Linked DNA regions of Bombyx mori. The protein of the gene in region 1 interacts with the protein of each later gene in a pairwise test. Links are inferred from orthologs where the notes say so. Each region holds a gene or a part of one and is shown on either strand. Other genes may lie near its edges.

Evidence for each region.
Region 2: the proteins of protein deltex (region 1) and beta-arrestin-1-like interact in a two-hybrid assay, tested with the Drosophila melanogaster proteins (2 studies listed by BioGRID). The link is inferred for Bombyx mori from reciprocal best matches to the Drosophila melanogaster genes dx and krz.

Annotation. Positions count from the first base shown.
Region 1 is NC_085114.1:16,022,172-16,026,786, forward strand, and holds the start of protein deltex, read right to left. Parts: upstream 2,995-4,615; 5' UTR 2,806-2,994; exon of another isoform or gene 2,517-2,805; intron 1,693-2,516; 5' UTR 1,676-1,692; coding exon 1,477-1,675; intron 386-1,476; coding exon 243-385; intron 21-242; coding exon 1-20. Other genes in the region: uncharacterized protein LOC101741377, read left to right, coding at 3,322-3,355, 3,389-3,412, 4,393-4,451.
Region 2 is NC_085111.1:15,957,028-15,961,515, reverse strand, and holds the start of beta-arrestin-1-like, read left to right. Parts: upstream 1-1,627; 5' UTR 1,628-2,068; intron 2,069-2,229; exon of another isoform or gene 2,230-2,290; intron 2,291-4,488. Other genes in the region: protein FAM8A1, read right to left, coding at 1-182.

The DNA.
Region 1 (4,615 bases):
TCTTCTAGATGGCATTGTTTCTGAAAACGTTTGGGGTATCTTTTAAAAGTTTTCTTATCATTTTCTGTAGGATGGTAGAGATTATAATTCATAGACACAGCCCACTGAGCTGGCTATCTCAAACGACTAAACTAAGAAATAAGAACTCTTCTTACCAATTAGTGAGCGCTTCAGGGATTATTAATTGAATTAGTTTTTGTTGTTTTATATCAATAGATAATTGGAAATTTGTTTATATTTACATCAAGCGGCAGAGGGTCATAGAGTAGCTCTCCAGCGCCAGGAGGAGGCATAAACCGAGCCCATTCCCAGCACCAGCCCCGTCCGGCTACGGACTGCACACTGTAGCATGATCTACGCACACCACACTCTAATATTCCACCATCTATAATCAAAATGTTTTCTTTAAATACAAATTATAAATTGGGCTATTCAGGTTGTCATTTGGGATAGCTCAGTGACCAATTAAGTCCCAATCACTGGACTAATTTCTACAATCCTTAATGACCGGTAATTTTTCATTTACACAAGTAGTAGTAAGTAAGTTCCGGTAGTTTTCACAAGTTCTAGACCTTATAAAAATGACTTTTACGATTTAATCTCACATTTATTATTTTAATTTTATTGTTTTCAACATTTTGAATAATTTAAGTAGTTTAGTAGTTAAGTAGTTATCATGGATATCAAAACTTGAATAAAACAACCAACTATTGTTTCCTAACTATCATTTGACGCAATGTACGTATCTACTCCAACTGGGGTTTGATTTCTACTAAATAAATAAGTACCACGACAGACGGAAGTGTGTGCTTGTGTCACATATGCTATGTTTCTTGTAACTTCTGAAAGCATTCGAAAGTTGTTGAAATTATTAAATTAAATAGATTTTTAGCATTTCATGAGTACATCTTGGTTTACAGGCATAAATATTTGTAAATTAAAAGTTAGTGACCTTGACCTAGAAGATACAGATTGTTTATCAAATAGGGCCTAATAAAAACCACGAGGACAGTACCTATTTGGTAGAGAAAAATATTTTAATATGTTTACTTCTGACAGAAATTCACATCTTTTGATATGTAATCAGCCTTATTATTTAATAGAATTCATATTACAGTCCCTTCTCTAAAATATAATTAAAGGGTCTCCAGGTAATTTCTTTTTTCTTAATGTTTAAGTGCTTTTTATTCCAAAAATATTTACTTGAAAACATATTTTTATATCAAAATGGTTATTCTAATTGAACGCTAACTAAAATTTTCAGCTTAATATAACCTTAATAGCACCTGTATAAGTGTATGCATGGCATACTCCTATAAATAATTTGTTATTAATCGGTACTCATGGCTAGAAGTTTAATTGTACTGTTATTATGTTATGTTATTAGTGTTTTGGGTGTTTAGCAGAGTCAGTCACAGTAAAGGAATAAATAATATAATAGCAATTGAACTCAGGTTTATGTAAATGTGTAATTACCAGGCGTCTCATTACTCTGTGTCAGGGTCAGCAAGTTAACATAATATCCCTTCAATGCTGGATCAGCATCAGCCAATACCACCCTGGTTAACTTCTTAGCATGAGCCCTTTCTAGGGTCCTTGTAACACTTGGCGTGTGTGGTAACCATTGACCATTTGACTGCCACTCCCATACTACAACGCAGTGGACTGAAGACATTGTTCATTCCATGTTGACTAGAAATCCAAAAAAATAATTTTATAAAACTGAACCAAAAGCAAAATCAATGTATATAATTAAATATAATTGTTAAATATAAAAACCCCATTCCAATCAATTAACAATTTAACATACAAATATTGATTAGTTATGAATATAGTTAGCTGATTACTGTCATTAGATCAAACAAGTTTCGTACCTAAGAAGGAAACAGTATCATATGTACTATATGAGTCGACTATTATCAAAGGTGGCAATCTGACTTTTGGACAATGATTGGTAAATCAGAAAAACGAATTATTGACTTTGTATTCCATTGGCAGTCACAAAACTCTTCGGAACGACATCTTAGATAAATAACAGGTTAACTATTAACCTTTATTTAATGCAGGTTTTGAACCGTATTCTTTGAAGGAGACGATTATATTCAAATAAATCTGTATTGACATATCAATAAAAATTTTTTGTCCAAATGTACAGATTGCCGCCTTTGATAATAGACGACTCATATAGTCTTTTAAATATTTTAAATGATACAATAAAATAGTCAAAATGGCATGTTAATACCATGAGTGCATATGAAGACACTACTAGAGAAGTTAAAGTTCTGGAATGATATTCCTTCATTAAGAAGTTGTTCGTGAACATGCATTAAGTATTTCCTTATAATAATTGGTACTGGTGTAAAAATACATTAGGCAGTTCATTTATTACGCGACGAAGACTTCATGTATGCAGTTGGATTATTTATTGTATTCCAATAAATTTTGCTTTAAAATTATGTTGATAAACAATTTAATACACTTTCTTACTGAAAAATATTACAATATTTTATACTTACAGGTCCAGTTCCACATTTGAAAATTATGATCTCAATAGAGCAATAAATTCAAAATTAAGATAACGAAGAAAGCTACAGGAATGCTAAACCAATTTGTTTGTTTGTTTCACAATCGCTACTGGTCATTTTCTATTCATATTTCTCAAACATACCCAAATTCATTTACATCAAAATTGCTTTTAAAGTGATACTAAATGTTGAATTGAGTGTACTATTTCCTGAATTAAGTAACATTTTTGTTCTAAGTCACTAATTTTAAAGATTAAATAAAATCGTTGCAATTCTGTACCTATGTACCAGTTTCAACATAGCTTCATAGCCCTGACGCTGTCGAATACTGTCAATGATTTGACAGTCTTGTATATTTCAAAAGCCGAAGGAGTATTCGTGCTAGCGTTAGTGTTAATGTCCGAGATTCTCTCGAGCCCGTGAGTGTGCTCAACCTATCCCTATTCCAATAACCTATGGCTATTCCAATAACGTTATGACGATTGGTGAGCCCCGTTGGCCTACCCAAAGCTGTTGAAAGCCCACGGTTTTTTCATACCTAATTGCTTAGGTAGGGAAAAAAGTCTGAAAACGAAAATAGTAAATTGAAGTTGTCACAGCCAGAGTCTTGACCGTATGAGCGAAGTTTCTTTTGCATCTTTAATTGAACCACCAAATTAAAATAAAGCATCGATCAATTTTAATCAAATATGTGCAGAATCTGCAGAATCCAAGTCACATTTTAATGTTTTAAAAAGTACCTGCATCGAAGTTCGTTCGTACCTGCATCGAATTGCAGATACACAAACATTGATACATGCATACTATTGAAAAAAAATCACACATATCTCGCAATGAAGTAGGAAACCTAATAGGTCTATGATATCTCGTTATGGCGTTTTTACAACGTAAGTAGGTAGATCAGATATTTTTGTTGACAGTATGAATAACACATTTCATTTTAAATCGTACACAGCTATTAAGACGAAATTACAATTGACAAAATGACATTATGATAACAACATACTTTATCTCATTACATTGAGTAATTTACGTGAACTTAACTTTCTAATTAATCATTTACTCATCGATAATTTACTGGTCCTTTGTACATTAGTGTCCAACGCGAATTAATGCGATATTTATGACCAGAACGAGTGGCGTGAGACGAGCTTCCGAAGCTTTATGAAACCGCTCGAAACTTATGATTGATTCCATTCGAGTGAGCTGCTTAGAGGTTACCAAATAGTGATCAAATCTCTTGTCTGTAAATTACTTTGATGATCATCCAAACTAACAATGGACCACTATAAAATGAAAAATGAGAAATATAATGATCTTAAGGTCTACTTGTCACACTTGATGCTTTTCATTTCTTTTAAGTAACACTGATTTGCAAAATGTTGTATAATAGGACAACAAAATGTTGTACAAATATTAAATCTGGTCATTAAATGGATTGTTCAAACTGAGTGATATAAAATTATGAATACCATTGTTGACATTATGTTTGTTGGAAAAGTCATATTATTAACAATGTATAATAATATAATATAATAATATAGGTGTTACTTGCCTGGAGATATGTCAAAAAATGTGTTGTTTACATGAGCACCAGGCTCATCACAAACCAGGAGAAGTGGGGATTGCTCATGAGGTGCATAACATCTGCTCACAGCAATGATACTGAATGACTATCACAACTGCTCTGACAAGAGTGATATGACAAGGAATAGGAATACATTACATAATGTGAAAAAGTCTACACAATTAATTTTAAGAATTGATTATAAATGTTAAAAAAACACAAAAACTAAGAACTACAGTGTAAAATTACCTATTTATATATCCTTAAAAAATGTGTTGAATTTTCTATTTATTTCTACAGACAAGGGTCGGGCCGCCAATCATTTCAACCTCGAGATGGATTCTGCAGTATCTGATGAGGTAAATCTAGAAAATATGACTCAGAATATTAGATCTCATAATTTATGTTATTGCTTACGGTGCAAAATAAGAGCTATGTTAGAAGCTATAGTATTGTCTAGGACACCACCAGAGTATTATTACCTTACCTTATAGTTACTTTCATAATGAAATAACTATCAATG
Region 2 (4,488 bases), on another chromosome or scaffold:
TGGAATGTAACCATGTAATAAGGGAAACACGTTAAATTCTGATATAATTGTGCTTGTTGGATCCATATTCGTAGTGCCTGAAAATATGCTTCACGTTCTGCGGATGCTGTCTCAGTTGAACTCTGTTCCGCACTTGTCGTTGGTTGCGCGGAATTATCAATTAGTCTTTCCGTTTCTAACATTATTTAATGTTCAAATAAACATTTAATTATCTTATTCAATATTATTTGCAATAGTACACGTCAGTTTATGTTGCTGTTAACTTTGTTTTGTACCATTTTGTCAACTGTACATTGACATTGACAGAATTATGTCAGTAGTGGTGTAGTTCCATTTTTCAAACAGAAAAGGCAACAGTATCAGACTATAGCCTGATCTTTTTATTTTTTATTATATGAGAATTGATATGAAACGAAACGAAGTGAAGTTGATTTATTTGAGACTGTAATAAATTGGGATGAAATTAAGTAAAACGAGATGCCCATCTTCTGTAATAAAGTCTTAGTAAAATGGTGATGATCTGCTAAGACTTCGGTAGACTTTTTCGAAGAACCTGAACAGCTATGTCAAAATTGACGAACGACTTCAAATTTCCAACATTTTGTCATTTTCACAGATGCTAAATAGTTAATATAATACAGTTACTACACATTAGAACCTGAAGAAACACCAAGTTAACAAAACCAAAAATTTTACACACGCTCCACGCATTCTCGCCAAAAAGTCTAACATTCTGTTTATACTCTCAGCAGGTAATTTAATTGGTTTATTAGACAAGCCAGCAAATCTGTTGTCAGAAAATGGCGAAGCTATAGGTTGTAGAATGGGAAATGAAATGAATCAGAATGAAATTATTTGAGATGAGATTAAGCAATATGGTAGTCGTTGAATGGGATAGCTTAGAAAGAAATAGCGTATCAGGAAAATTGGAGGAATCTACTAAGAGTTGGGTTTAAGAGAGAGAACCAGAGATGCTACATTTAATAATTAAGTTTGATTTACACATTTACAGATACTTAATAGTGAATACGCCGTGATTATTAGATGTTGGAACCTAGAAAAACACTATTTTAAAACAAGTCGTACAATTTGACACCTTGCCCTCCTACAAAAAAACTTAAACTTTTATTTCCTGCCTATTCTAGTAGCCTCGAGGAGTTATACTAGATTCTCCGAGCGAGTAAGAGAGCTTACGGGGTTCTAATCTGGTGAAGAGCTCCAGTGATCTGAGCGAAAACTCTCGAGAATTAATGTGAGCTCAGGTTTTATCACCAGGTGTTTCTGGGTTGATAGTAATAGTACTAGTAGGTTTATACAAAAAGCATGAAAGTTTCTCATAAAAATCACAGTACTTACTTAAAATACATTTTTTAAAAGACTGTTATCGTTCTGTTTTCATTGTGAATATCAGGAATATCACAAAGGCTGTATAGTCAATGCCAACCAAGCCACTGTCTATCAGTAACACATCTTGTTAACCAGTCTGTTAATTCATTTGAGTTGTGCGTATTTTCTCCTTTTTTAAAATTGGTTAGTCGATTTTTCATATCCTTTTAATATTACTAAAGCTGTTTCATTTTTCACTCGTTTAACACTTCAAAATTGGCATTGGCAACTTTAAAAGTTTGTCAGTCAGTCAGCTAGCTTTGGCCTAAAGGTCCAGATACCAGGCCATAAATTAAAAATAATAATAATATCAGTCAGCTAAATGTCGAAGTAAGTCTGCTTTGCGTTCGTGAATGTAGCCGAAAATGACACATTCCTGATGCTATATCAGTATATCTACTGTGATCAAACGAGCTATGCTTGCTCAAGTAATGTGATGTGTGACTGGATGGATATAGTGGTACTACGAAGTGGAAGGTAGTACACGAAGTAGCCTAATACAAATTTAATGCGTTTTACGTTCCACACCATGGTGTACCCAAGTTTTTGTTAGATGTATAAATACCAAAAAAAAGAAACAATATTTTCAGTGTCAGCGAGACTTATCAGTAAAATCTGCGTTTTTAGTGTGTGACGTAAAAGTTGTAGTAAAGCTTTGCTACGAGGAACTTTACTCTCAGATGTAAGTACCTGCTTGCGTACATTTGTTGTTAATTTTAATCCGCTTAGGTTCACGTGGTACTGGTTTTCGTGTTTGCATCGTTTAAAAAGTTTTATGTAATTTTAAAATAAATAAACGGTCGAATATTAAATTTACTTAGATTTGAACTATTGTTTAAATAGGTGAAGTTTGAAATATAACAATAATTGCAATCAATCACCTACCTGTTTCCAAAGAAGTCAAGTAAGTACGTCATATTTATCAAACTTAATTTTTTTTTATTGCCTTTGTAGGCAGATGAGCATACGGCCCACCTGATGGTAAGTGGTCACCGTCGCTCATGGACGTCAGCAATGCCAGGGGCAGAGCCAAGCCGCAGCCTACCATAAATAAATCTGTAGAGACCAAACATAAATCGAGTTGTATGATTTTATGAAATCAAAAATTTTACAAATATAAATTGAAGATTGAATAGATTCTAAATACAATTTTTTCAAACTACCTTCACACTTCCATCTTATTTTTAAACTGTTATCCCAGTTCCTGGCTAAAGTTAACTCCTCACATTAAGAAATATCCTATGATAATTCTCAAATATTCATATTGTATAATCATAAAATACTGCATTTTAAAAGACTAACATTGGCCCAAAAATAATACATGCATATTTGCATAGTGAAGCATATTTTGTATAATCTTTAAACACATTGACTCCACTTTATATAGTCAAATAAGGTCTCATGTCAGTCTCATAATTGACGGTGAATTTGTCGGTGAATGCAACATAGTTATAGAACTAAAGAAAATTCATAATTATCGAAAATACTTTATGGTTTAATTTTGTTACAAGTAACAAAAATTTAAATGCTGTTTTTTCCGGCAATCCTGAAGTCATGCATTTTTAAAATTCAAAATAAAGTGATACACTTTCATTAATTAGTTTAAGGTGGAAATAATTTGTGATGATTGTACATTTGTTAGCATAAACTATTACACATAAAATTAAAAAAGGATCTAAGGTACATATCAAGACTAAAAGCTAAAGCATTTTTTTTTCCTTTAGTCATGATTGCTTGTAGTAATTAATTATTTTTTGTTTTATTAAGTCAAGTGTTCAATACTGTAAACTGAACACAAAAATAATATATCCAAAGAAATAAGTAATAATAATAATAATGTATAATAATTCTTAATTAGTTGTGGCTCGGACTCAAATGAACGAAAAACACCAACTTTCCTTAATACAGCTTTGAGGCCTATAATTTGATGGTTGTAATGTAACAGAACCATGATACAGCTAATGGACAGTCTTGCAAATTGTCGCCTCCAAGCTGCGCCTATTTTATGTGTAATCTAATGAGTGTCATCCCAGCTTCTCCAGGAAAACAGCCAGCTGCGGTATGATGCCTGACGTGTGGCCCACGATCTTGAAGTGCATGCGAGCATCATTGTTTGTCGTTTGTTTCCCCTGTACAGAGGACTGTCTGTAAACAAAATCGTTATTAACCATTTCAGTTATAAATATTTTTCTGACAGATATGAGTAGAAGAATTATTATTTCAATAATATCTTAAAAAGCCGTCGTAGCTTCGGATTCGTCAATGTCGCGTAAATATCTTAAAAATCAATTTTAGTCGTCGTCGCCTAAAGGATAAGACGTCCGGTGCATTCGTATGTAGCGACACCAATGTACGATTCCCGCAGGCGGGTACCGATTTTTCTAATGAAATACGTACTTAACCAATGTTGACGATTGACTTCCACGGTGAAGGAATAACATCGTGTAATAAAAATCAAACCCGCAAAATTATAATTTGCGTAATTACTGGTGGTAAGACCTCTTGTGAGTCCGCACGGGTAGGTACCACCGCCCCGCCAATTTCTGCCGTGAAGCAGTAATGCGTTTCGGTTTGGAGGGTGGGGCAGCCGTTGTGACTATACTTGAGACCTTAGAACTTATATCTCAAGGTGGGTGGCGCATTTACGTCGTAGATGTCTATGGGCTCCAGTAACCACTTAACACCAAGTGGGCTGTGAGCTCGTCCACACATCTAAGCAATAAAAAAATAATGTTAAAATTTATTTTCTATTTTTTAGTTGAATTTTATATAAAGCGTACTTTTAAAACTATTAATAACATCAATTCCTGCCTTATCGACTATAGATAAAAATTATATAAATTGGCAAAAATCTTATTTTGCAAATTGAATAATGGAATAATCTTATCAAATTAGTGTATTGTCATCGGTCCTCGATAAATCTACAAAGTTTGAATGAAATCTGGCCGTTTAAAGTGGGTCAAAATCGCGTCTAAAAGAGTCAGTTACAAACAAACATACATACAAGTGAAGCTAATATAAAGTGTGTAAAAAAATACTGAAACAGTGTATCCGAGAGTATGCATCCTTAGTCACGTAATTGAAAAAGACGTGAGACTTATA